Stegostoma tigrinum: one gene and its partners. The protein of the gene in region 2 purifies or fractionates together with the protein of the main gene of each other region. This does not show direct contact. Links are inferred from orthologs where the notes say so. Each region holds a gene or a part of one and is shown on either strand. Other genes may lie near its edges.

The links.
Region 1: the proteins of sqstm1 (region 2) and htt purify together in Homo sapiens (affinity purification with western blotting; 4 studies listed by BioGRID and IntAct, with this or other methods). This does not show direct contact. The link is inferred for Stegostoma tigrinum from reciprocal best matches to the Homo sapiens genes SQSTM1 and HTT.
Region 3: the proteins of sqstm1 (region 2) and wdfy3 purify together in Homo sapiens (affinity purification with western blotting; 4 studies listed by BioGRID and IntAct, with this or other methods). This does not show direct contact. The link is inferred for Stegostoma tigrinum from reciprocal best matches to the Homo sapiens genes SQSTM1 and WDFY3.

The regions. Positions count from the first base shown.
Region 1 is NC_081356.1:129,591,478-129,601,446, forward strand, and holds the start of htt (huntingtin), read right to left. Parts: upstream 4,821-9,969; 5' UTR 4,590-4,820; coding exon 4,501-4,589; intron 1-4,500.
Region 2 is NC_081366.1:11,449,100-11,459,068, reverse strand, and holds the start of sqstm1 (sequestosome-1), read right to left. Parts: upstream 5,358-9,969; 5' UTR 4,670-5,357; intron 1-4,669. Other genes in the region: mgat4b (alpha-1,3-mannosyl-glycoprotein 4-beta-N-acetylglucosaminyltransferase B), read left to right, coding at 6,075-6,165. UniProt on the Homo sapiens protein: Molecular adapter required for selective macroautophagy (aggrephagy) by acting as a bridge between polyubiquitinated proteins and autophagosomes.
Region 3 is NC_081354.1:74,047,843-74,057,811, forward strand, and holds the start of wdfy3 (WD repeat and FYVE domain-containing protein 3), read right to left. Parts: upstream 4,955-9,969; 5' UTR 4,626-4,954; exon of another isoform or gene 4,291-4,625; intron 1-4,290. UniProt on the Homo sapiens protein: Required for selective macroautophagy (aggrephagy). Acts as an adapter protein by linking specific proteins destined for degradation to the core autophagic machinery members, such as the ATG5-ATG12-ATG16L E3-like ligase, SQSTM1 and LC3.

The DNA of each region.
Region 1 (9,969 bases), on a different chromosome or scaffold from region 2:
ATTTTACAATTTCAGAATCCCACTCCTGCTTTCTCTCCATACCCCTTATTCCATTTAGCCACAAGGGCCACATTCAGCTTCTTCTTGAACATTTCTAATGAACTGGCCCCAACAGCTTTCTGTGGTAGAGAATTCCACAGGGTTCACAACTCAGTGAAAACATTCTTCTTCATCTCAGTTCTAAATGGCTTATGCCTTATTCCTAGACTGTGACACCGAGATCTAAATTTCCCCAACATCAGGAACATTCTTCACACATATAGCCCGTCCAGGCCTATCAGGATTTTACACGTTTCTAAGAAATCCCCACCGATTCTTTTAAATTTCAGTGAGTACAAATCCAATTGATCCAGTCTTTCTTCATGCCTCAGTCCTGCCATCCCAGGAAAGAGTCTGGTGAACTTTCACTGCACTCCTTCAATAGCAAAAATCTACTTCCTCAGCAACATTGCAGCAGCCAGTCATACAGCATGGAAATGGACCCTTTGGTCTAACTTGTCTGCGCCAACCAGGTTTTCCCGAACTGAACTGGTCCCATTTGCTTGTTCTTCCGCAGACTAGGAGACCAAAACTGCACGACGCTCAAGGTGTGGCCTCACCAAGCCATAACTGCAACAAGACTTGCTATTCCTATATTCAAATCCTCTCATTCGTTCATAGAGGCAAGTTCAGTTACAACATTTAAAAGATATTTGAACAGGTATATGAATAGGAGAGGTTTAAAGAGATGTATGCTAAGCTCAGGCAACTGAGACTAGTTTAGTTTGGAAAACCTGGTCGGCACAGACAAGTTGGACCGAAGGGTCCATTTCTGTGCTGTATGACTCTATGACTGGCTGCTGCAAAATTGCTGAGTCAGAGCTGAGGGAACAATCTCTCACTGTTTGGAAGCACCATGTCCATCTGTGTTACTTTTCATAATAAAGTAGTCATCTTAGTCCCAGCTTACCATACTACTGCTCTCTCATTAAAGCTGGTGGTTTAACCTGAGGGTCACCACACTTCAGCAATACAGGTACTGCACCTGAACTGTTGGCACCACTCAGATTGCAAACTAGTCAGTCACTCGGTCATCTGGGTTACAACTCACTGGTTATCTAAACCCACTGGCAATGCACCATGCCTTACTTTGAAATAATTCAACTTTTTGTTTTATATTTGAGTACTACTGACAGTGTCACATTTATTGCCCATCCCAGGTAAACCTGAGAGATCTGCTGGACCACTTCTGAGGGCACCAACAAGTCAACAATACTTCCAATTAATAAAAAAAAACATTTAGCCTTTCTTTTCCCCAGGCAGTTTAAACTGAACGACAAGTTACCGAAGGCTTTCACTTACCACTCACCACAAATTAAAAAACAAATTTCAAAATTCAAAAACTGGAAAGGTTTACAATTATTTCCTATGCTATCTCTGAACAATTTATCTGGGCAGGTAAAAATTACATTTTCCATATTAATTCACATTTTTTAATTGCAACTTTATCACTTAGTTTCAAAAACTGCACGAGGCCAATTCATTAACTGTCAAATCATTTTTCTGACATTATGAATAAAAAGTGCAGAAAACCATATTACTAAGCTAGCAATTAGGGCCAGGGGTATAAATGGCAAGTACCGTTGATAGCAGTAAAGGTACTTTGCATTACAGTGAAGTAAGCAGGGTTTTCACTGTTTATGCCCGAGTAACAATTTATTAACTATATTAAAAGGTGATTAAATTAATTCCATCCTTATTTTCTAAAGGCAACCATAAAGTGCACAATAAGGCGGCACGAGATAGTGCAGAGGTGGGAGTTACCATCAGGTGGAGGAATTTTTGATGGAACAGGCTTGATGATTTGAGTTTATGAATGCCTTTTTGCCACTCAGCACTCCACACAACTACTCAAAGGAAAATTCTTGGCTAAAAGTCAATTCAAGAACTGTTTGACTTAGCATTTTGGCTCCCCTTTGCTCCTGACTCCAAGATTGATCAGAATTTACAAGTGAAAAGTCATCTCCACCACCACAGACAACAAAAGAATATAAAATCACGGAGAGACTATTTAGAGATTACAAGAATTTGCCTTTCCTCCAGCCCAAGCTACAAAGGATCTTTCAATCCTATTACTGATTTGCAAATAAACATCCATATAAAAAGATATAAACTCTGCTATGGCAAAGTGATCAATAGAGAACGCCCAGGCTCTTGTCAGACACCATTAACATCTTTAAGGTTACAACAAACCCACGCAGTCACCTGCTTAACAACCACTGGCAAACATCAGTGGTTATATGCAAAGAATAAAGTCCAATTTGCAATAAAGCAATATCTTTTGATCCTTTCCAGAAATATGAGCAATGCTGACGATCCCAGCAATTGCTGCCCATCCATAACTGTTTTTGAAGTGACTAACTTAATAAGTCATTTCAGAAGACAGCTAGGAGTCAACAACATTGCTGTTGGTCTTGAGTCACATGTAGGTCAGTACAAGTAGAGATAGCAGCTTTACTTCCCAAAAGAACCCTTGTTAGTTTCGTGATTTCCCAATTAAGCAAGAAAATATACTGTTTGTAATAAATATTGGACATGAGATAATGGTGGCAATTCAACATATTTCTCACAGGATTACCTGAACTTGATGTCTTGTATTTCAAGGAGGCACTGTCCTCGTGGATATCATCCATTTGCCAATATGCTATACAAACAGGTATCCTTGACTTTCTAGAACTGCAGCACATTCATTGAGTTCCGCTTCCAAAAGCAGAAATTACACTTCCAGAAAAATATTTACCTTGGAAGATGTCTGCATTTTAAATAATGCAGAAGTGGAAATAAACAATCAATCATAGTTATAGCTCGACTGCATCTTAAAAATCGCAAAGAGGCACACAAGGCCTGGAGTCTCATATTACACAGATCAATCAGCAAGTATTTCAGTGTCAATGCACAGAAATCCAAGGATTTCACCAAGGTCCAGTATCAAATGCAGATCTTTATCAAAAACATAAAAAGATAACATGCTCACCAGGCGATGTACCTTCCACTTAGTTTTGTCAATTTCACTTTTTATGTTACCTGCCCCACCCAACTTCCACTAATTTTATCATTATCTTCACTCATTCATGCACAGCAAAATGCAATATCTCTCTTCAGAATTGCACCAAGTGCAAAAAGTGCTACAGAGCTGGATTCACAAAAAGTGACTGAACATGCTGGGCAAGTGGAAATCCTGGCAGTTAAAATATTCTTTCCCCATCTCCCTGCTGAGTTTCTATGAGAAGTATGACAACAATGCTGTTGTGTATGGATAAAGACCAAGGAAACATCACGTATTGATATCCCTTCCACCACTCCACGTTCCACAACCTGAGTTTTCACGTCATTGTAAACAAAAACTCAGCATTGCCCAATAAATCCAAAGCCATTTCAACATCATTGTCTGCCTCTACAACAAATATTGATATATTCCCAGGGAAAACAAGAAACTGATATACATCCATAACTTACACACACTGTACAAGTTGAAAACTAGAAAGTAACAACAAAAACTAGGAACATTCAGCAAGTCAGTCAGCATATGGAGATCAAAAACAGTAGCACTTTAGGTGTAGGATCTTCAGCAAACATTACCTCATTTGTTTTTGCCCCACATGCTGATTGGCACAGCAAGTGCTTACAGTATTGTTTCACACTTGTAGATTTGCAGTTTATTTTTGTTATTCCTTCCCATCTCTAACCATCCAGCAAAGCAGAAACATCTCACATGCACCACTGCAACAGGAGTCATTTCAATATATACAGAAATAAGACAATAAAAAGGAGTGACTAATGATCATCTCCCAGATTTCTTAGCCTGGAACTATATCTGATTTGTGCACAAGTGTAATTGTATACAAGTTGTCTATCATTTATTTCCAGCCACTTGGGTACCAATGTCAACACACCTGGTTTGTATGTCAGACAGTCAGTGTTCACTTATTATACATGGGTGTATCAGTACTGTTCTACATCAGCATGGCAAGCTATAAGCTTGCACACCAGCATGTGTTTTTGTACATTGGTACATCAGTATACGATTTTACATATTGGCGTGCCAGCACATTTTTTTGTACACTAGGACGTCAGGGCCCGGGTAGAGGTGGGGCGGGGGGGTGGTGGTTCTAGGTGGGATGCTCTTCAATGGGTCAGTGCGGTTTCAAGGGGACAAATAGCCTCCTTTCACCCTGGAGGAATTCTATGGGTTCCACGGCATGTTTTGGTACATAATCACACTCTGACACGCCAGTGTACAGAAGGACACCATGAAATGCCAATGCACACCAGACGTCAGGGTGCGATTTTTGTACATTGGAATCCATCCCACAGTGAAATTTTGCGTTAGTTATTTAATCCTTGCGCGCACGCGTTTTGCTGTTTGTAGATCTCTGTAAGTACTTGAATGTCAGCGGGATTCACCAGCAGCTCCCCTACAAACCATCCCCAGCCCTCTCTCACCAGGATCGTTTTACTCACGGTTTCTGCCCCGGCTCCTCACTGGACGGTCCCTGCTGGAATGACTTTAGTGACTCGAAGGCCTTCATCAATTTCTCCATGGTTGCCATTTTATTAGGCAGAGAGAAAAATATAATGGGAGCGGAGCAGGAGAAGCGCTCAGGAAAAGCACTTCTTGCCAAGTCAATTCGAGCACCAAACACACCAAACCAGTCTACTCCACGTCAAAGCGTATGGACAGCTAAGAGGCTTCTAACCGCAATATACACGAAAACAGACTTGGTCACAGTCACCAAAACCGGCAAACACCGCCATCTTGCCAAGGGTAATGGCCCACAACCAGTCCCCTTCAACCAAACCTGACGGCACCAGCCACCCCGCCTCCAACCGATTGACTGACGGCCCCGTTCACCAATAGACAATCGACATTTGGCCCCAAGGACCAATTGGAATACAGTGGGTGGGGCAGGTCCAAATTGGAGCGCCGAACCTTACGTCATCCCCACGCGCGCGGACTGCTGGTTGATTGAAATATTAACCAATCGACTATCGGTATTTGTGACCACTGGGCCAATGAAAACCGTTTGTGTCTGGGAGACATTGGACCAACCGAGGCAGCGGACACGATGCTTGAACGCCCTTCAATTCATTGATGGACAGACGAACCAATCCACGGTCGGAAAGTACCGGGAGTTTGAAGACCGGACAGATCGTCACCGGTTTAATTGATGGATTGGTTAACCAGTAAAGAACGGACAATGACAGTGATTGATGGATTAATTGGCCAATCTATATTTGGAGTAATGACGGCGAGCCGGAGGCGGGACTAAATGTGAATTTAACGGCTGGCGCCGCCTGATGGGAAAGGGATGAGTGATGGTTGTGTTGACCAATCAATGGCCAGGTTCGAGCCAACGAGGAAGGGGAAGGCTGGCTGTTTAGGTTGTCTATTTAAAATAAATATAGATTCAGAAGTTTGGCTTGACGACATCGTGGTCTAACTTAGGAGTTGGTTGATGGCTCCGCTAAAGAACCTTTCCATTTGTCTGGAAGTTCATTCCCTTCCATGTGGCAGTTGAACCTGACCATAGTGAGCAAGAGTCCATTGGCCACCTCCTTGTTTGACATGATTTCGTGACTAAGCTAAAGGGAATGTCAGCAGTGAGATACAAGTTCGTTCTTGCTAAGACCTTGCTTGCGTTTTGACATGGACTGCTTCAGTACCTGAGAAGTCAGGAATGGTGCTGAATGTTGTACAATGACCAGTTATAAATCATACAGCACCAGGTGAATTTACTAAGCAACTTCATTTGACAAAGGAGCTGCACTCCAAAAGCTTGTACTTTCAAATAAACCCTGTTGGCCTATAACCTGGTGCCCTGTGACTTATGACTTTGTACACCATAGTCCAACTCCAGTACCTCCACATCGTAATAACCAGTTAGCTTGATCTCTGTAGTGGAGAAGTTACCAGAGCCAATCATAAAGGAAGAGAGAACTGAACACTTGGAGAAACAAACCTGAATTCACCAATGTCAGCATCATTTCATGAGGGCAAGCCACGCTTGACAAACTTGCTGGGAAATCAAATCAGCAAGGCGAGTCATGGGAATCTGGTGGATGTGGTGTATATATAGACTTCCAGAAGGCGTTTGACAAGGTTCCACATAAAATACTGACCCAGGGAATTAAGGGTAGAGTAATGGCTTGGATAGAGAGTTGGCTAACTGACTGAAATCAGAGGCTTGGGGTAAATCAGTCCTTCTCTAAATGGCAAACTGTAACTAATGGTCTCTCAGTCCTCAACTATTATATAAATGATCTGCCAGCAGGGACAGAGTGTAACATAGCAAAACTCGCAGATAACATTAAAATACATGGGAAAGCAGCCTGTGACGAGGAGGTAAAGAGTTTATAGATGGATATTGACAGGCTAGGAGAATGGGCCAGAATCTGGTAGATGGGGTTTAATGTGTATTAAGTGTGAGGTTGTCCATTTTTGGCAGGAAAAATAAAAGGCCAAATTATTATTTAAATGGGAAGCACATTTAAAGTGTGTCAGTGCAGAGGGATGTGGGCATTTTTGTGCATGAATTGCAGAAAGTGGCTCTGCAGATGCAGCATATACTAAGAAAGGCAAATGGAATCCTGACATTTATAGCAAAAGGACTGGATTAAAGAACTGAAAATGTACTGTTAAAATTATATATGGCTTTGGTGAGACCTCAGCTTGAATGTTATATCCAGTTTTGGTCTCCTTACTTTATGAAGGAATGTAGTGCACTAGAGGCAGCTCAGAAGAGATTCATCAGGTTGATTCCATGGATGAATGGACTGTCATACAAGCAGCACTTGTACAGCTTGGGCTTGTACTTACTGGAGTTCAGAAGAATCAGAGGGATCTGTTTGAACGATATAAAATGCTAAAGGGAAGTTGAACAGATGATCCCCACTGTGGGGCATTCTCGAACAAGAGTTTATAGATATAAACTGAGAGGAGGTAGGTTCAAAACTGAGATGAGCAGAAACTACTTCTCCCAGGATTGCAAATCTGTGGAACTCATTGCCCCAGAATGGAGTGTAGGCAGAATCAATAGACTTGAGAAGGAAATAGATATGTTGATGGAAAGTTGGATAAAGTGTATGGGGAGCAGGCAGGAGAATGGAGTTGAGACAAGGAAAAAACAGCCATGATCATGATGAATGGCAGAGTGGACTCAAAGGGCTGAATTGCCTACACCTGCTCCTAATTCCTATGTTCCTATGATTCTCGATCAGTAGGGTTTACAGGGAAAAGGCAGGAAACCGATGTGAGGAATGTCAGATCAGCCATGATCTGATTGAATAGCAGAGGAGGCTCAAGGGGCTGAACAGCTTATTCCTGTTCCTATTGCTTCTGGTCATAAATCTGCTACTCCTAAAACTATGACCTCTCATTCTAGTTGTCAAGGTCATTTACTCCCCATCACTTGACTTTGATGTAGAGAAGAAATATAGAATATGAAAGTAGATTGTGAATAAATAAACATAATAAAATGTGAGAAGGCTAATTACAACAGTATTAGGCAGAAGCTGGAGAAATTAGATTTGGGGGTGGCTCTTTGACAGTAAATCCACATCCGATGTATGGGACCCTTTTATGAACTAGTTGATCAGAGAATAGGATCAGCATATGAGGATGAAAGATAAGAATGGTAAGATTCAGGAACCCTATGACGGCAAGAAATGATGAAAGATTTTTCAAGAAGAGGAAGAAAGAGTATGTAACTTTTGTGAAACTGAAATTGGACAATTCCCTTGAGGAATATAAAGGAAGCAGGAAAGAACCTAAAGAATTGCGAGGATTGAGAGGACCCATGAAATGTTCTTGGCAAGTAGTATTGAGGAGAATCGCCAAGGCATTTTATATGTATATTAAGAGGAAGAGGATAGCTAAGGAAAGATTTATTCCACTCAAGCACAAAGGACGGAATTTACAAATGGAGCCAGAGAAATTGGGTGAGACCTTAGTGAGTATTTTACATTGATATTCACCAAGGAGAAAGACATGTAAGACATAAGATTAGGGAGGAATATATTGATATTCTTGGAGATGTCAATATTAAGAAGCAATAAGTCTTGGGTGTCTTGTAAAACACTTAGGCAAACAGGGATCTGCGCACACAGATCCTGTGCAGACCAGCTAGCGGGAGTACTTGCAGACATCTGTAACCTCTCCTTTCACTGATCTGATTTTCCCACCTGCTTCAAGAAGACCACTATCATCCAGGTGCAAAAGAAAAATCAGACAGCGTACCTTAATGACTACCACCCAATGAATCTGACATCCATCATTATGAAGAGCTTTGAGAGGTTAGTCATGGCACATATCAACTTCAGCCTCCCAGATTGCCTTGATCCACTACAAATTTCTTATTGTCACAATTGTTCCGCGGCAGTTGCTGTCTCTTTGGTCCTATGCTCATTTCTGGAACATCTGGATAACAAGGACACCTACATCAAACTCCTACTTATTGACTATACCTCTACCTTCAAAACCATTATTCTAATCAAACTCACCTTCAAAATCCAAGAACTTGGGCTCTGTTCCCCATTTCTACAACTCAATCCTTGACTTCCTGACCCATAGACCGCAATCAGTAAGGATAATCCTCAATGCCAGTGACCCACAAGGCTACATACTCAGCCCCTTACTGTACTCCTTACACACTCATGGCCATGTGTCCAAGTTCTGCTCTAACTCCATTTACAAGTTGCTGATGACATCACAGTAGGTAGGATCTCAAACACCAACGAGACAGAGTACCGGAAAGAAATTGAGAGCCTAGTGGCATAGTGTAAAGACAAGAATCTCTCCGTTAATGTCAACCAAATATAGGAGCTGGTAATTGACTTCAGGAAGCAGAGTAGAGAACATGCCCCTGTCTGTATCAGTGGCACTGAGGTGGAGATGGTGGTCAAGAGCATCAAGTCCCTAGGGGTGATGATCACCAACAATCTGTCCTGATCCATTCTACAGTCAAGAAAGCACACCAACGTCTCTACTTCCTCAGAAGACTAAGGAAATTCTCATGTCCACAATGTCTCTTACCAATTTTTATAGATGCACAATAGAAAGCATCCTATATGGATGCATCACAGCTTGCTATGGCAACTGGTCTGCCCAAGGCCACAAGAAATGACCAGAGTTGTGAACACATCCGAGTCCATCACACAAACCAGCCTTCCATCCATTGAATCCATTCATAAATTGTCATGGCCATAGGACGTAAAGGGTAGTTATGGAGCAGTGTTCTTCTGACTAGAGGTCTGTGACCAATACTTTTTGTACTATAGATTTGGATGAAATATAATTAGTCTAATTATTAAATTTGTAGATGACACAAAAATTGGTGGAAATCTGGATCGTGTGGAAGGTTATCAAAAGATATAGCAGGATATGCACCATTTGGGGGAAGGCAATGGCCTATTGATATTATTGCTAGACTATTAATCTAGAAATTCAGTGAATGTACTGGAGATTATGGTTTGAATCCCACCACAATAGATGGTGGAATTTTAGTAAAAAAAACAATATGTCTGGAATCAACAATCTACTGATAACCATGAAACCATTGTCGATTGTTGGAAAAAAACCCATCTGCGTCACTAATGTTCTTCAGGGAAGGAAATCAGCCATCCTCACCTTGTACTTGCCTACATGTGACTCCATACCCACAGCAGTGTGGTTGACTCTCAGCTGCCCTCTGAACTGGCTGAGCAAGTCACTCAGTTCAAGAGCGACTAGGGACAAGCAATCAATGCTAGCCAGCCAACAACACCATATCCCACGACTATTAAAAAAATTGGAAAGTTGGGCACAGAAATGGCGGATGGAGTTTAACCTGGCTCAGTGAGGTGGAGCATCTTGGGAGGTCAAAAGCAAGAGAAAATTATACAGTAAATGACCGGACCCTTAGGAGTATGATAAACAGAGGCATCATGAGTGCA
Region 2 (9,969 bases):
ATACTGTATCCATTGTACCCAGTGTGGCTTCCTCTACATTGGGGAAACCAAGCGGAAGCTTGGGGACCGCTTTGTAGAACACCTCCGCTCGGTTCGCAATAAACAACTGCACCTCCCAGTCGCGAACCATTTTAACTCCCCCTCCCATTCCTCAGACGACATGTCCATCATGGGCCTCCTGCAGTGCCACAAGGATGCCACCCGAAGGTTGCAGGAACAGCAACTCATATTCCGCTTGGGAACCCTGCAGCCCAATGGTATCAATGTGGACTTCACCAGCTTCAAAATCTCCCCTTCCCCCACCGCATCCCAAAACCAGCCCAGCTCATCCCCTCCCCCCACTGCATCCCAAAACCAGACCAGCCTGTCTCTGCCTCCCTAACCTGTTCTTCCTCTCACCCATCCCTTCCTCCCACCTCAAGCCGCACCTCCATCTCCTACTTACTAACCTCATCCCACCTCCTTGACCTGTCCATCTTCCCTGGACTGACCTATCCCCTCCCTACCTCCCCACCTATACACTCCTCACCACCTATCTTCTTTTCTCTCCATCTTCGGTCTGCCTCCCCATCTCTCCCTATTTATTCCAGAACCCTCTCCCCATCCCCCTCTCTGATGCAGGGTCTAGGCCCGAAACATCAGCTTTTGTGCTCCTGAGATGCTGCTTGGCCTGCTGTGTTCATCCAGCTCCACACTTTGTTATCTGGAAATCCTCTGTCAGGTCACCCATTAGCCTTCGCTTTTCAGAAATAAAAAGCCGTAGTCTATTCAGTTATTCCTGGTTCCACTATTATCTAATCATAGCGAGGCGATCATGTTCAATGGCTCATCTTTCTGCTTCTGCACTTATCTCCACTGTCTCCCAAGTATATGCCCCTGACCCTTCCATTTTTTCATCTACCACTGCAACAAAGCCAATGTGTTTACAATCTTCATCCACATTTGATCTCAGGATGATTTTTGCATCCCCAATCTTAATTTCTACACTATGTTGGCCATGCTTTCTGTGGTCTACACCACAAACTTAGGAATACCCTTCATTAGTCATTCTGCTGAAGCATCTCAAGAATGTTACTATATCAAAAGCACCAAATACATGAGTTTTTTTTGAAGAACAGACGACTATGGGGTGAATTTACACACATGGCAAAGAATCCTATCTATGGCAAAAATTACACAGGTCACAGTTGGTCTACTGTCATGTAGGCTGAGATTGACAACCACAACAGTCCAGAAATCCAACAGTGGATCCTCAGGCTATTATGTATTATTTACATGGTACTGCCGATGTGTTGTATTTGGATTTCCAGAAGGCAGATGACAAGGTACCTCACAAAAGGTTAAGTCATAAGACCCCACAGTATTGGATAGCATATGGGCATGCATAGAGAATTGCCTCACGGGCAGGTAACAGTGAATGGGCATAATTGTTTTTCAGGTTGATAACCTGTGACCGGTGGGCTTCCACAGGGATCAGTGCTGGAACCACAAATGCTTTCAAAATATGTTAATGAAGTAAATGCACTACGCCAAATTTGCAGACGGCATTAAAAAAAGACAGAAAGGCAGGTTGTAAGAAGATACAAACAGTTTACAGAGAGCTATTGATAAGTTAAGTAAGTGGGCAAATAGTTGCCAAATGGAGAATAATGTGGGAAAATGTGAAGTTGTTCATTTTGGAGGGGAGAACAAAGAAACAGAATTATTTAAATGGAGAGAAACTACAGAAAGCTGCAACAGGTGCAACAAGTAATCAGGAAGGCTAATGGAATGCTGGTCCTAATTTCAAGGGGTTTGAAGTCTTACTGCACCTCTACAAGATACTGCTGAGACCACATCTGGAGCTCTGGGAGTTGTTTTCATCCCCTTACTTAAGGAAAGATATCATTTCATTACAGGCAGTTGCAAGAAAGTTAACTAGGATGAATCCTGGTATTTTTTGTTTTTCTGATGAAGGGTCCAGGCCCGAAACGTCAGCTCTTGTGCTCCTAAGATGCTGCTTGGCCTGCTGTGTTCATTTAGTCCCACACTTTGTTATCTTGGATTCTCCAGCATCTGCAGTTCCCATTATCTCTGACTCCTGGTATGCAGCGATTGTCTTATATGATCAAAAGCAAACTGGTTCGGATTCTGCTCACTGGACTTTCAAAAAAATAACAGGTGATCTCAATGAAACATAGGATTCTTAAGGGACTTGCTATGATAAACGCTGAGAGGATATTTAGCATCATGGAAAAGTCTAGGACTAGAAAGCATAGCCTCAGAAGAAAGGGATGCCAATTTAAGACTGAAATGAGGAGGAACTTCTTCCCTCAAAGTGTTAAGAATCAATCCTTACATATGTTTAAGGCTGTGTTGGATATATTCTTGATCAGTTCAATCATGGGTTATGGGAAAAGGCCAGGAGGAAGGTCAGATCAGCCATGATCCTGTTGAATGGCAGAGCAGTCTCAATGGGCCAAATGCCTAAGCTTGTTCCGATTTCTTACAGTTTCAAATTAAACCATCAGCAGAACTGGAGCACTGAATATCGTATCCTCTGCATAGTCACAGATTCAGTTGGAAATCAGTGCTACAATCTTTGCCATACCTGAGAGTGCTCCTTCAAGTGGACTTGTAAGCATGCTCTGAGGAAGGGTCACCGGACCCGAAACGTTAACTCTTTTTTCCTTCACTAATGCTGCCAGACTTGCTGAGCTTTTCCAGCAACTTTGTTATTGTCCTTATAAATATGATTCCTCACTCTACTGGAGTCTATTCATGCTTCACAATAAACCTAGATAACAATTAATTGCTAATAAACTCATTTTCTGCTCGCTGGTTAATTTTACAGCTTGCTAAATAGATCATTCTGAAACACTACAGTACTTAATTTAGTTCTCACCAAGAACATTAATACTCTGAACAAACAATAGGTTCTCCAGTTTTCTTGGTTGATTTAATCAACCACATTCATTAGAAAATGCAAATCATGCTCGGATGTATACTTGCCAAGTCTTTCTTCCCTGTGAGCCACCACATCCCGCCTCCCAAACCTGCTTTTCAAGTAAGATGTTCAACTTTAATTTTCCGACATTTTATGGTCTGCAAAAACTGGTGACACGAATTGAACCAAAGCAAAAGACTGTAAGATATAGGATCAGAATTAGGTAGTTTGGCCCATCAAGTCTGTTCCAACATTGGATCATGTCTGATATGTTTCTCAACCTCATTCTCCTGCCTCTCCCACTAATCTTTGATCTCCGTACTAATCAAGAGCCTACCTGTCTTAAATGCACTCAATAACTTGGCCTCCACAGCCTTCTGCGACAATGAGTTCCACAGATTCACCACCCTTTAGCTAAAGAAATTCCTCATTTCAGTTCTAAGTGTTCATTCCTTCACTCTGAGGTTGTGCCCTTGGGTCCTAGTCCTCCTACTTGAGGAGGTATCTTCTCCATGTGTACCCTATTCAGGCTTCTCAGTATTCTCTAGGTTACAATGAAATTACTCCTCATCCTTCTGAACTCCATTGAGTATAGATCCAGAATCCTCAACCACTCCTCATATGACAAGACCTTTATCCCTGGGATCATAAATGACTAGAGACATAGAAAAAGACAATATAGAAATCAGAAGGCTCTTTGAGTCTGCTCTGCCATTCAGTAATGATCATGGACTGATCCTCTATGTCATCCAAGTTCTGAAGAGGAGTCATATTGGACTTGAAACATTCACTGCATTCCTCTCTTCAATAATATTGCCAGACTTGCTGAGTTCCTCCACCATCCTTGTCTTTACATCAGATCATCTCCATCCATTATACTTTGTTAAACCGGGGAGAGCCAGGGAATGTGTTTTATGTGGATTTCCAGATAGTCTTTGACAAAGCACCGCACAGGTGACTGTTAAATATTATAAGTGCCCATGGCTGAAAGGGGCAAGGTATTGGCATGGATAGAGGATTGGGTGGCTGGCTGGCAGTATGCAGAGTAGGGATAAAGAGGTCTTTTTCAGGATGTCAGCCAGTGACTAGTGGAATTCCGCAGGGGTCATTGTTAGGACCACAACTATTCACGTTATATATTATACGATCTGGACAAAGGAACTGAGGGCAATGTTGCTAAGTTTGCAGATGACACAAAGACAGGTAGAGGAATAGGTATGTTGAGGAAGTAGTGGAGGCTGCCGAAGGACTTGGACAATCTAAGACAGTAGACGAAGAAGTGGCAGATGGAACATAACATGGCAAAATCTGAGATTATGCACTTTGGTAGAAAGAGTAAAGACATGGACTATTTTCTAAATGGGGAAAGGTTTCAGAAATCTGAAGCACAAAGGGAATTAGGAGTCCTAGTTCAGAATTCTCTTCAAGTTGACATACAGATTCAGTTGGCATTTAGGAAGATAAATGTGATGCTGGTATTCATTTCAAGAGGGCTAGAACAAGAGCAGGGAGGAATAGTTGTGAGTAGTGGGATTATGAAAGACAAAAGATTCAAAACTGAAGTAAAAAGGCATTTAATTTTCAATAATGTCCAACCATAGTTAAAATTATAAGGAATGCGATTTTGAAATGTAACATTAATTTGAAGTGTCGAAGCGCTTGTTTGCTTTAATTAAGAGTTATCATTCTTTTAAAATAAGCAAGAACCATTTCACAATTTAACCACATGAAGAAGGGTAATACCTGAAACGTTGGCTTCACATGTCCTACTGTTGCTACCTGGCTTGCTGTGTTCTTCCGGGCTCCTGTTCGTCTACATTGGAGTACAGCATCTGGAGATTTTTTGTCTTTCACTTCTTCAAACACCACCAAATGAAAAAAAAACCTGCTCCTTGATCATCTGAATTTCATTTTATGGGATCCGGCTGTGCATAAATGGACTACCCTGTTCCCTTTCATCATATCGATCACCAAACTTCAACAAAATATACTTCACCGGTTGTAAAAGCGATTTGGGGCACCGTGCAATCCTGAATTCCTCTGTATAAATACACACTTTTCTTCAAATATGGTGCCACTTGAGGCAAAATGGCTATTTAAAATGAAGAAAACGTTTTAATTTCCAAGGCAAAAGAAATTAACACCAAAAGACGAAACACTTCCCCTCAGTCGCCATCCTTGGTTGCCATGGATACTGCAAAGGCCAAGTGGTCAATTCAGCAACATGCCGGGGAGATCATTTTACACTCTCACAAAACCATTTTCACTCATCCCCACGCGACAGTCGATTTCCAGCTGCCTCCTCAAGCTTACCGACGAGGGTTTTATTTCAAGGCCAGATCGTTTTTGTTTACATTGTGATCGACGCTCCCACCGACTGACAGCTGCTTCGCACACATTTCAAAGAGGCGGGCCGTCGCTGGTGCGCGTGCGCTCTCGCGTCAGCTCCGCCTCCCTCCATCTCAGCGGGCGGGGAGCTCACGCGCGCCTTTCGGGTAGCCGGCGCCCGTGGGAAACGCGCATGCGCTGTCCATTGAGAACAAAGCGTGGCGCGGGATGAACACGGCAGGCCAAGCAGCATCTTAGGAGCACAAAAGCTGACGTTTCGGGCCTAGACCCTTCATCTGCTGTGTTCATCCAGCACCACACTTTGAATCTCCAGCATCTGCAGTTCCCATTAGCTCTGCGCAGTCCGTTGATGCGGGCGTCTCATTCAGCTTGTTGTCTCATGCCCCCTTCTCAGGATCACCCCACCCTCCTCCTCCCCTGCACATTTCTCCTCCCCTGCACATTTCTCCCCTTAACTCTCCCATCCACAAAGCCCCGCCTTCCCACCCCAAACCTTCTAACTCAATCTCCCCTCCCCCACACACCCACCCCGTTTCCACACACAGCCCCGCCTCCTACTCGCCCCGCCCCCGCGAACCTGATATCCATTCGCGGAGTGAGAGGCCGACGTATTGCGTTCTCGCCCGACGCCGCTATACAATCCGCGGCGTGTGTATGTGGGGGAAGTAGTGCGAGCGAAGCGGTGCTGGAAGGAGCGGGAGCCTCGGGTCCTGGTGACACAACCCCGAGAGAGGGGAAAAAAAAATGGAAGGCTTGCTTTAGATAATAGAATAATGCTAAACAATGCCTGCCCGGTGAGATGAGGCTCCGAAATGGGACTGTTTTGACGGCTGTGGTCTTGTGCAGCGTGGTCTCCGTGTCTTGGTACGCGGCGTTTTCCGCTCAGAAAGGTGAGAGAGGGAGACCCTCGAGGGAGAGAGAGGGAGCTGGATGTGAGGGAGTAATTAAATGGTCCAAAAGCAGCCGCTTGCTTTACTAGTTCACCACCCGTCATCCCCATTCACCCTTCAGCTCTCCCTGCCTTCCCTCCCTACATCTCCCTGCCTTCCCTCCCTACATCACCCCTCCTTCCCTCCCTACATCACCCCTCCTTATTCTTCAATCCCCCCCCCCCCAGTGATTTCCCCTTTTTCTCTTTATTTCAACACCTTGGGAATGTATTTGTTTGCGATGGTTTTTAAATATTTTATGCCGGACTTTTCCCTTTTTTTAAGTGGGATACAGAAGTCATTTGCCTTCTTTAACAATACCCCAGTTATTCTCTTTATTTTACCCCCCAACCCCACGAATAACCACATGTTTATTTGTGATGTGCTTCCATGTTTTATTCCAGATCTTTGCTTCCCCCCCCACACCCTTTTTTTTGTTAGGTGCGATGCAAAAGCCTTTTGCGGGAACCCAAAAGGATCTGGCCAAAAGGCTATCCCAGAAAATAAACAACACGGATTGCATGTGTTTCCGTCAGCACTGAGCAGTGGATCCATAGTGTCCCTCTGGGATGTCTTTTTTTTTAAAACCACTCCCAGTTCAATGGCAACACTAAAGTGTTTTTCTTTTTGTCATTCATCTCCTGGTTATCTTTCTCTTCCCCTCCCAATGTATTTTTTCCTAATTTCGGAACAACACTATCCACTTCCATCAGATTTGTGATTTGGCTCATGTTAATTCTCTGCGCTGCTTTACAGTCATGTTGAGACAAATTACAATGTTTCCAACCTGGGTTTCAATGTTAACTTTAAGTCGGCTTTTTTTTCTTTTAAAAAGATCCCTTTTTACAAAACGTGACGCCACTAGCGACAAACCATAGTAATTTATGTCATCGGATATATCCTTTTGGATGTGCTCTAAGCGAGCACCGTTTTGTTTTGTTGCTGTTGGAATCGCTTTCCGTTTTGGGACCACATTTGTTTTGTATCGTTGAGCCCAGTTCTGCTGAAGGGTCCTGGACCGAAACGTCGACTTTCCTGTTTCTCTGATGTTGCCTGACCTGCTGTATTCCACCAGCTCCGCGCTGTGTTGACTCTGATTCCAGCTTTGCAGTTCATGCTATCTCTTTATTTTGTTTATGATGTGAGTTTTGTACAAGAACTCCAAACCGCTGCTAATCCTTTCCCCGCCTCCGTTGAAGAAACGGCTTCCTTCGTTTTATATTGAAATGACGCTTTATGTTGGATTTACGAACCTCAGATGAGATGACGAAGCTTCGAAGTGTTTGTCTTTTTAAGGGTTAGTTAGAATTTTTGTCTGTACGACCCCACCATTTAATCTCCGCCTATTTTTTCCCGTAATGATTTTCAAGGCTCAATTTTAAAAAATATTGCGTTCGATTTCGCTATGCTTTTTAATAACTAGGGCCCTGTAAGTGAACTTAATTTTTGTTAATTTTCCGTGGGGTGTCGACGTCCCTCTACGTTCAGCATTAATTACCCATTTCCCAATAGCCATGGGTAAAATGGTGCTGGCTTCCTTCTTGAACTATTATAGTCCATGTGGTGTAGAAACACCTACAATGACAGGTGTATGGACTTCAGGGGTAGGGTTTTGGGTGGGTGCTTTACCAGAATATTTGGTCCATCAACCAGTTAGGTTTCCAAATAAAGATTGTACGTACTTTAAGGGAAAATTGAAGGGGGTGATTTTTTTTTGTGTGTGACTGTCACGTTTGCTCCTAGGTTGTAAATGATGTAGATGTGGTATTGCTGTTGAAGAAGCCTCCGCGAATTGCTGCAATAGTTTTTGAAGTTGTCTTGCCATTTAAGCAGTAGACTTTTGCATGGATCTCGGTGGGTTTAGCAGAGGACCCAGGTGCATGTCCAAGTGTGTCATTGATTTGTTATGATATGATTTGTATTTCTGTCTATTAGCATGCAAAATTTTCTATAATAATACACTCTTGTCATGTTGACAAGACGTTAAACAGATATTCCTCTCAGTATACCAATACTGAACATATTTCTGATGCACTAAAGTTTGTGAGCCGAAGTTTTAATCTCACTTAAAAACTGAGAACTGTAAATATATGTAGTCTGTCTGTATTTGAATGATATTGGTTAATGCAGTTTAATATTTCAGGCTGCTATTTCTTTCCGTCAGCTGACTCTCTTGGATGCTGTAACTTTCTGATATTGTAAAAAATGTCTCTTAAGGTTACTCGTTTACTGCGCACAGCCAGATTGTCATTGGAGAAGCAATATGATAGAGTGGAATTTGTTAGAGCTGATTCCTGGAATCAAATCTGAATTTATATGCCAGCATTATTTGCATTTTAAAGTTGAAAGATTAAAGACCAATATTATTCCCTTGTGTGTTGTTTATGTAATGAAAGATGAGTTGTTATGGGGTATTAGTGTTCTGTTGGGATATCAATTGTATCCTGCACTGCATTTTGTAGTGTCCTTGCTGCGTATCAGGAAACCAAACTTCAACGGTTTATAGCTGAAATTTCTTTTAAAACCTAAAACATTAGCAATAATAATGTATAAATTCATTCTTAGTTTCACACATTCAAACTTTATCAGCCTGACTCTTTTACACAAATTATTATTTTATTTGCTCCCCATCTTCTTAAGTGGTTGCATAAATTTGTATTATTCCCTTGAATCTTGAAGGGTAATCCAAAAGCATTGTGATAAATATTTGAAGGGGGAAAAATTGACATGGATGTGGGACTAACTTAATAGCTCTCAAAGAAACTGCTTGGGCATAATGAACAGGATGATCCTCCTGTGAAGTATCATTCTAAAGCAATGTTGACCGATTGAAGTCTCTGGTCAACCTCAAATATTGGTGTGGGACACTGCTTCAGCCACACTTACTAATTGTAGTAAAAAATGTTTTACTACAATGTATGCAAAACTACTTCGTGGACATATTTATTAAACTAACCTAATTCACCTTTTACTGATACTATTGGAGAAAAATGCATAGAATGTCTCAAAGTATTGCTCCCTCCAACCCAAACGCACACCATACCTCAGTCATTTTTGTCCTCTGTTACTGCCTTCACCTTGGAGATCCAACATCTCTACCAGAATCTTGGTGCTGCTGTATGTTTTGTAATCATAATGAAGTGATCATCAGTGCCCTGTCCTTACCACCATCTGTGTGCACATTCAATTTGAAAAAGATAGAAAAATCTCTTATGACTCAGCTATGTGCATTCGAAAAATGTTACGATTATCAACTAACAAAAATATAACTGACAACTTTACTTTTGATTTCTTCAGCCACCTTGTTCTTTTAGGTAACAGGAGATATTTCACTACTGAAATGTTTTGTCACCCATTCTACTCAATAATGAATGTTCCTGTTGAGAGAAAAGCATCTAAGTATTATTTGAAATATATTAAAGGAGAGAAACATGAGCATTGTGATCTGTTTGTTGACTTTCTGCATTTGGGAGAATGTAACACACCCCTCACAGCTTGGATGTATGATTTATATATTAATGACTTCATATCGCTGTTCTTACCACAACTAGTCTAGGTCTTTGAGATAGTTGCTTATTATTGTTATTATGTGTCATGTTGAAAATGTATCAGATCAAAAATTCAATTGTATTCCTTTTACGAGAAGTTAACTAAAAGTAGGAGTTAGGACAGTTTTTCTTAATCAACCTGTGATCAGACTTCTTATTCACATGTCCAAAGTAGCTGGAATTTGAAACTAGGCTGTATGGCCTAGAGGTAAGAACG
Region 3 (9,969 bases), on a different chromosome or scaffold from region 2:
TGAGATGATGATTTCAAGAGGAATTTGGATGGGCACTAAAGGGAAATAAACTTTCAGGGCCTTGAATTGCTCTAGCATTTAAGAACTGCAAATGCTGGAAATCAGAAACAAACAGAAACATCTCTGGAGAGAGAAACAAGAGTCAATGTTCAAAGACCAGTGGCCCTTCAGAGCTAAAACTGCAGATGTAGATTTAAAATAACAAAAACTCCTAAGGGTCACTGGATCCTAAAATGTTAACTGCTTCTTTCTTCACTGATGCCGCCAGACCTGCTGAGTTTCTCCTCAGCAATTTATGTTATTAGGGTATTTTGGGTTTTAGCTCAAACAGGAGAAAGAAAAACAATAGAAACAATTATTCAAACCAAGTTCAAATTAATACTACCCCAGAATAATGTCAAATGGTTTAAATATATTTGCCCACAAGAGGAAGCTTATCTCAGCCTGGTCTTACTGTTATGTATTTTAAAAGTCTTTGGAACACCTCTGAAGCAATACCTCAGAGCAGACTGTCATACTTATAGTACACATCCCATTTTACAGCAGCTAGAAAAGAAAAACAATTGCTCATACTTGGCTGGGGAAATATTTGTGCACACTAGTGAACACAAAATGGATCTGCCAATTTATTTTAGCAGGTGTCACCACTCATTCCCTGGCAGACAAACATGACTGGCTCCACCTAGAATAACCGAGTTTCTGCTCGTGTTGAAATTGAAAGTAGTGCTATCTATAGAAACACCAATGGATGCTACCTTTTTTTTAAAAATTCTCAATCTCTAGAGACCACACCCCCACCTCTTTAAGCATGTTGTTAACAAATATTAAATGTGGAATTTGTTGCCAATTTCAAAGCAATATTAATGGAAATACAAAATAAAATAATCCACTTCTAAACACAAGGAGGAAGTGCTCCTAAATAACAAAAATCCCATCTGAACTAAATTTCTCGTAAGAAAATTGGAAATATGCACAGCTCCCAGCACATCAGCAGAAAATTGCCAAAAATAAACATCTATGATGCGGCATCTTGATGTAATTTGTGCTGAACACAACAATGGCCAATTCACCAGATCTAAGAGGTTGCTGCTGAATTTTCCTCACTCCACATTATGCTGACCATAACATTTATCTAAACAGATATACAGTAATAACATTTAAAACTGTAAGTCATAGGTCAGTTCTAGCACCATTAATGATTTATGCATCATCTTTAATGTGGATGTATATTTAGAAAAGCACGAACATTAACAATGACACACAGTCAAAAACAGAAGTATTAGGAAAGCCCATTAGAAAGTTGGTTAGAAATAGTTTTTAAGACCTTAAAAACTGACAGAAAAACAGATTTTTGGGAGCAAACTTAAAAGACAACATGGCACAGTCAGTGAAGTAGTTCAGAGGTAAACTAACAGCTGGGAAAGCCTGTTAGGGAAGTTATTCAGCCCATCTGGTTTGTTCTTCTAAGAAAATCTATAAAACACCACCCGAAGACATCTTAAATTACTCCAGATGTTTCATATTAACTAATCAGGAGGCAAGATGAATCATTCTAGCACAACCCAACTGCAACAACAACTATATGAAAATTGTATTCAGTTTAAGACAAAACTAATGAGTCAAAGTAAAATATAATGATCAACTTCTTGGTCCAGTGGTATTAAAACAAAACAAAAAGTAGATGTCAGAACAAAGTTTTCCAAACACTATTCATTTAGACAGGACTAAACCTACCAAACCCCTTTTAAAATTAAATGACTGATACTAGGAAATCATTAGTATGCCATATTAGTTTCAATTTGTTTCCTCCTATTATTTCAGAGTTTATGCAGTGAGTAGTCCATTGTATAAACTTAGAACATCCAAAATTCAATGTTTCTTTATCAGATTTCATTCAAGGTAGTTGCAGGTTCACTTTGTCAAATAATTCATTGACATTTATCGAGGTGACATTTGAATAGCTACACAAGACATAATACCTCAACCAGACCAAGGAGAAAATTGCAGAGAGCACAGTCTTTTTTATAAAATGGCCTCCATAGTCATTCCCTTTACTCAATATTTCACAAAGCATAATCAGTCATATTTTATTTCCATGTTTAAATATATTTCCAGACCACTTTTGGAAGTAATAATTGCCAAAGAATTTCTTACTGACAAAATAATTTCCAACAAGCGAATAGATAGGAATCTTTTTTCCCAGCTCATACATGCCCCCCCATTACTTTGATGTCTAACCGAGCCCCTTCAGCTCTTAACTGACTTGATCACTATCTGGTTGTGAAACTTTAGGGTACTCAATATTAGCATTTTCTGACAGGCCACACTACCAAGAAGAACAAGTTTCCAGAAAATTGTCATAATCAACTTTCTGAAGAAGGTATGCATTACCAAGTTGTAAAGCACTCTTGCGTGCCTTGAGGCTTCAAGGGGGAGTCTTGTCAGTTTAAAAGTGATGTGAACCTCAGATCTAATGTTTCTCCAAACACTTAAAAGCCTAATAAACAATGATATATCATTGTGGCAGTCAGCACCTAGGTAACACTATCTGAAGATTATAACATCGAGCAAATTACCACAAGTCTCAAATAACATTTATATCAATTGATATAAATGTTGTCTGAAACACGGAATTAACAGACATTAAAAAATGCTAAAGGGGAAATGTGCAATTTTGAAAAATTCACTGTCAACATTTCTGATAGAGTTGACTATTTTCATGGTACAACTGGGGCTTTAACTGTTTATTTGGACACAGTGATAAAGTGTGCAGCTGGATGAACACAGTAGACCAAGGAGCATCTTAGGAGCACAAAAGCTGACGTTTTGGGCCTAGACCCTTCCATCAGAAAAGCTATTTGGACACAGCGCTGTCTTTTACTGTCAACATTCAACATTTCTCACTTAAGATCTACCTGTGATATTTAAGCTCCTCCCAAGAAAGGCAGAACAATGACTCTTTACACTCCTGAGCCCGAAGAACGCGGTTAGCTGGTAATGGGGATTACTAGATTGCTTGCAAAAATTCCAAGTCCTTAGGTAGGTTAGCCTCCTATTAAAGTTTTCAAAAAAGTTATTCCTAGGTTGTAGACTGTCATCAGTCAGGGTTCAATCAGGTAATTGTAAAAATTATAAAAGTTATAACTTGGAATGCCCTCCAGGTAATTTGCATTTGTAAACAATGACTGTTGGATATCATAACAGGAGAGAGAACCTCATATTTGTTAAGTTAGTCATTTCAGGTTTACAGCTTCAAACATGCAGTGAAATCCAACTATCAGGTCACACAAAAGATTAAAAGCAGTTCAACAGGATAATTTTTTTCCCAAAATTGTGTGTTTTATCCAACATTGAATTCAGTTGTTGTCCTTTGATATCATTATTGACAGTGCCATTGCCCTCCATAAGGGAATAAGAATTCTTACTGAATAAAAGTAAAGGTGCCAGCAAGACTGTGTTACAGTAATAAAAAAGTGGGGAAGACAAAGTTTATAACCAAGGTAAGTGAAGGGCTATTGAGCTCCCATTTGGTCCACGAGAGTCAAATCAAGATTTGATTACAACAGTTTGAATAGGCCTGCAGCATACTATGTTTATTGATATTTTCAGAACTAATCCCACAAATCTGCCAATACATTACAAATTACCGACCGATTTTCAATTGACTGTAAATAACAGAAAAGATACTTCTTGAATAATTAGTCTTCCTTAAATGAACCATTCTATTATGGTGAGCAGCAGTATTTGTTACTCGAGGGGTAACAAGGCCTGCTTTCTAGCAGTTAAACCTTTGAATTGGCTCATTGACTCAGATCTCGAAAAGCCAACAACTGCAGTTTCACACGTTGGCACCAATGGTACGATAAATACTCTGGAGAGTAAGTAATCCAAGTTCATACAGTTCCCTCCAATGCACGATACTTCAAGTAATGTTGAAATTAAAGGGAAAAAACACATTAAGCAAATTGCGGGTACATTTTAAACGTAATGATTAAAACCTTGTTGCTAAGGATGCAACGGATCCAGCAGAACGGTGTGAAGCCGAGATTTCATCAAATCAATATTGCATGAAGTTAGTACAGATGTCTCCTGCCCGAAAATAAAGCAGCTTTTCTGTAATCGCCGAAACCCCCGCGAGGAAATCGTTCATGTTTACGTTGAGATGTCTTTTTAACAATAATTTGGGATTGTTTCCAGTGGGAGAGCGAGAAATGAGAGCGGCCTAAAGCCAGAGCCAGGTGGAGGGGGAGCTGGGGGGGACGAGACTGAGGTGGTGGTGGTGGTGGTGGTGGTGGTGTTAGGGATGCGGCCGTCTTGCCGTCTTTCCCTCTTTCCATCCCCCGCCCGCGGTGACGGACGGGCTGTCTGGAGGGGTTGAGGGTGCCGTTGGCGACCCGAATGTCGGCTCCTTTTAAAACCCCGCAACCGGAAACCCGCCCTGCCGGAAACAGCCTGGAATCTAATAGGAGGGGAAAAGGGAAAATAAATGAAGCTGGATAAATAGGAGCCCAGCTTCACACGGCCAGGCTTTCCGGGATACTAGGATCCCTACCCCTGCCATTTCCAATTCACGGCTGCTTGAAGAAGACGAGATTGTTCCTTTTTTCCAAAAAGATTCAACTCACCAGGAAAAATAAATGTCCCGAGCGGACGAAGGAGAGATGAAGGTTGGTGCTTTTTTTTTCCTCGCCGTCCCCCCTTACCCTCCTCCTTTTCTCTCAATACTGGTGTTTTATCCTGTGAAGTCCCGCAAACCGACGGCGCAAAGGGATGTCAGAGCAGTCGGGAGGGTTGTGTCGCTGCCGTTCTTTCTTCTGGTGGCCATTTTCACCCGAGGCTGAACTGAAGAGCCCTGAGAGTGACACTGGGAAACATCGCCGGCTCCGCTCCCTCCTCCCAGGCACCGGGGTCCACCAGCAACCCAGCAACAGCGACCAACGAGCGCCCCCTCCGCTAGCCGCCGCTCACTGCGACTCTCCGAGGGGCAGACCGCTGCGCACGCGCGGATTCCCCACCCCACAGCCCCAGCCGAGGGTGGCCGATAGCGCCCCCTTCCGTCGGACCCCCGCATACTCTCCAGCCCGTGAGATGAAACGAGGAGGGCTTACGGCGGCTGGGCGGGTAGTGACGCTGGGGCGGATGCTGCGCACGCGCGCATCGCCCTCCACGCTCGGGGTGCGACTGCCAGCACCGCTCCCACGTGATCGATGAGGGGACTCCGAAGACCGAAGTTGTCTATTGTACACATGCGCACTCGCATTTTGACGGCTCGAATGATGGGGGGTGGGGAAACCGGCGTGTGCTTTTAAATACTGGCTCATTTCTCGCACTGGGTGAGATTGCTGTTGAAGATGTTTAAACGTTATTCGTGTCATAGTGGCCATCAGGTTAAACTCACAATTAGTCTGTAGTGGGACTATGGCGACTTCAACTTCGTCATCTACGGGCAGAAGGGCATCAATGATCATTCATAGAATTGACGCAGGATGGAAAAACGTGTTTGGCCCATCGTATCAGTCATCACACAACTATTCTAATTGTATTTTCCAGCACTGGCCAATAGTCTTCTGTCTATCGTGCTTCAAGTGCTCTTTGAAATATTTCTTCGTGATAATGGGAACTGCAAATGCTGGAGAATCCAAGATAACAAAGTGTGGAACTGGATGAACACAGCAGGCCAAGCAGCATCTCAGGAGCACAAAAGCTGACGTTTCGGGCCTAGACCCTTCATCAGAGAGGCTCTCTGATGAAGGGTCTAGGCCCAAAACGTCAGCTTTTGTGCTCCTGAGATGCTGCTTTGCCTGCTGTGTTCATCCAGCTCCACACTTTGTTATCTTAAATATTTCTTAAATATCTTCAGCCACCTACAAACTGGAAGAGAATAATCCTTGTTTGCGAAGAACGGCCAGTGATGAAGTGTCTAGAGGTTTCTGCTTTTACCACCTTTTAGCCCATGCGTTGCAGAAAATGTCCCCTAAACCTTGTGCACCTAACTTTAAAAATGTGCACCCTAATTGTTGATCCCTGTACAAAGAGGGAAAGTTTCTCCCTTTCCATGCCACTCTTAACTTTGTATACCTCAGTTAGGTTCTCCTCCATCGGCGTTTTCTGCTGCAAGGTAGATAACCTTGTCCTATCTAGGCTCCGTTCTTAGATGAAATACTCCAGCCAAGGCAACATGCTCTGCAGTGCAACCATATCTTTCTTACAGATTTGCAACCAGAACTGCATATAGTACTTCGGCTGCGACCTAACTAATGTTGCATGCAGTTCCATCATAACCTCCATGCTTTTGTATCGATTGTCTTGACTAATAAAGGTGTGTCCATATGCTGCCTTAACAACCTTATCTACCAGTCTTGCTGCCTCAAGGATCTATGGACACAGTACCAAAGTTCCTCTGATTTTTCTGTATTTTCTAACGTTGTACCATTCAATGTATACTCCCTAACTTTAGTAGTCCTCCCAAAGTTCACCACCTCATACTTGTCACAATTAAATTCCATTTACCACTTGCACAACAACAAAGAAATGACAGGCTTTGACAGTGACATGGTAATCCGAATAACTTCAATTATGGCACCTATTTCTGTAAATTGTAGCTAGTGGTTGTAAAAATCATTGTACTGGTCACAACTGATGTTAATACTGGATAGATCAGATTGCACAATAAGCTGTGACTTGATAGATCATGTTTAACAATGATCTCTCACTAAAAGGTAAGGACACATGGCTGTAGATTTGGTTTTAACAATAAAATCGAAATTTTTTAATAAAGCACAGGAACAAAACAATTCAAAACTTATCAAAATATAACACCATTTGGGCAGAATTGAACACATAGCAAAACAAAATCCTATTTCATAGTATAGTTTAACAAATTGTTCCCTAGAGTTAATTTATTCCCTTTACTCTTTAGAGCAATTTCCAGGAAACATTATATTTGCATCTGATTTTAGTCTGTTTTCATTCGAACTGATTTTAAAAACATTCAACAACATTAAAAGTAAATTATCCATCCTACATTCTGATAAGCTAATGGCTTAATATTTTCTCTCACTGCTAGTTCAAGCGGTAATATGAAGTATAGTTTGTAGACGAGCTGAAGCCAAGGGGTGTGTACAAATATAGATTCAGTTGGCAACATGTAGCTCACTAGCCTATGGACTAGTGATCAGTTATTGATGACAAGAGCCCCTGCCAGCTAACAAATATGCCTGTCAGGTAGTTGAATAGCTTAGGGCTGTGAATAAGGTAGTGAGAAGCCATCAGTCCTTCACCAGCCTAAGAGCTTTCTGTTCTCTGCAATAAACACTGCTTTAAGACTCAAGAAAACCAATTTATTTTTTCCTTGAGCAGTTGCTATAACCTATGACTTTTCATTAATAATCAGAGACCTTTTTCATGGAAGTCAGCCAACGTATGCCCCTTGAAAACCATTGAAAGCATCAGGAGAAGGAAGACAAAGAAGCAGCATTCTGATCAGCGTCAGAACCATCTTAGTAGACCATGTGATCAAAGAACCACTGAACTGCTTTCCCAGTTTTCCTTCTCTGTATAACTTCCACTATTTTCCTGTGTGTGTGTTCGTGTGAGAGAAAGAGAGGGGTAAAAGGGGTAGAGGGATGATTTATAAGTCAATTAAACGTAAACTACTAGAGATGTATGCCATAGGTTCATAATTACTTGCCTCTAGCTAGAGCCTATTTAATTCAATAATTAGTTATTTTTGTCAAGTACATGAACTTGGTCCATGCTTTGTGTGAATGTGGATCTGAAAGTTAGTTAGTTGGGGAATTCAGCATATTTTTAAAACTCTAGCTTTTGTGACAACTCTAGGAATAGCAAAGCTTCATTTCCAGTAAGCCACCCCAATGAGGGTAACAATATTAATGTACATAAATTGTACAGTATTCATCACAATGTGCAATTTTGCATTTTCTAAACTTCAAATCAGTCTACATGAGCTTTTGCCCATTACAACAGCATGTCCAACTTTATTGGCATTAATCCCAAATCTCACTGTCTCATTAGAGCATGGAATGATAGAGCACAGTACAGGCCCTTCGGCCCATGATGTTGTGCCGACTTATTATCCTACTCTAAGATCAAACTGCCCTGCCTACCCTACATTTCACTATCATCCATGTGCCTATTGAAGAGTCTCTTGAATGTCCCTAATGTATCTAATTCCACTACCAATGTTGGCAGTGCATTCCACATGCCCACCACTCTTTGTGTGAAGAACCTACATCTCCCCGTGCCTTAATCAGAAGGCAAACTCTCAAACATCAAGAAATTTGGCAAAAATATACAACTTTTTAAAAACTATTATATAGATTAGCTATTTTAATTCTAAATATAATGAAAGATACTTGAGTCCCATAATAGATAAGGTAATTTTATAAAATCTATATCACTGTCCAATTTAGGTTGTGACAAAGCAGAATTTCAGGGATCAATATACTGTGCACTGAGGATACCTAAAAAAAATGTCCAAGCCAAGATCGTCAGGCTATTTCTCAGGCATTCAGAGTGGCTGCCTAAAAGAAATATTGGCTGCATACAAAAGCACATGATGAGTATGATGCCTGAGTGAGGACCCCTTGGGGAATCTGGTGTGTTCTGCTGTCAGACATGCTCCAATCTATAACAGTCAATCCTAGAAGGCTCAACAATGTCTTTTCCTTCTTTGCCCACTGCAAACTGGATAGGACTGCTTGAATTTCAACCTTCGTTAGACCCTTGGTAATGATGATAGTTTTGCTTAGCTGTCCGGGCTAGATTTGAATCTTGTTTGCGGAGGTGAAAAGGCATCATTCAACTAACAGTCAGTCCCACAGCAATTTATTGCTGTCATAAATTTAATTATGTTTACATATAACAAAATGAGTTTGGCTCTATTCCTGTCTATTCCATTGGTATACTTAGAGTTTGTCATCTTTTAGTAATCTGATTTGGTCTGTAGCAATTATGTGACTATGTATAAAAGAGTTGCATTACAGAATATGTTTCATGATCTTATGATACTCCAGAACACCTTAGAAAAAATGAAGCCCTTTGAAGTGTTGCAGTGTAAGAAACTCATGCATTGTACTCCTGTAATAATCCAATTGATCTGTCTGAGCGAGAGGTGTTTTACAAATTAATGCTGTTCACCCAAATGGTGGGCATGCTGAATTTTCTGTCATCACTCAAAACTGCTTCCAGCATGACTTTTGGGGCAGATGACTTGTTGACATTCTCTTTTGCCTCTTTTCCAAACCTTGTGGCATTTTAATTTGACTGTTTTGGTGACAAAATGTCCATCTTTTAGACCTCAGACTACAAGTCTAATTTTGTTTAGTCTCCCTGTTCCATAATGCTTAGCTTCAGCTATCACGTGCAAATGTCAAAGAGAAAAGAATATTATCAGTCTGTGCTCTGCATTATATCTCCATTGCAAGCTCTGAGGTAGTGTCTTATGACAATAAGTCCCATATCATTATATTCATTTAGTAACAGAACTTGCTGAAAAAGTCTCATTTTGGCAAAAGATTTTTGTCTTACGTTCATGGGGAAAATTTTCAAGAAAAATAGAGGGAGAGCAATGTTTATATTGTATGTGAAGAGTGTGATGATTGTTTGCAAATGGACTGTGATTGGTAGAGGTATTGCCATGGAGAATACTGACAGTTAATTGCCAAACTTCATTCAATTTTGTACCAGGCAGGTTGATTGTAATCAGTCAAGGTATTGCCATGAGAAGTGAACATTTTCCAAAAGCTATATATATTCTTTGCAGACAGAAAAGCTATGTATACATACTGCACCTGTTTCAACTCGCAAGGGAGGTAACAGCCATCTTCTGGTTTATTTCTTGGGACGATGCCCTAACTAATCAGAATCAATCTGCCTGATTTATAATTTGAGCCAAGTTTGGCAGTTATAGAGGCATAGAGTCATGCAGCAAGGAAATAGATCCTTTGG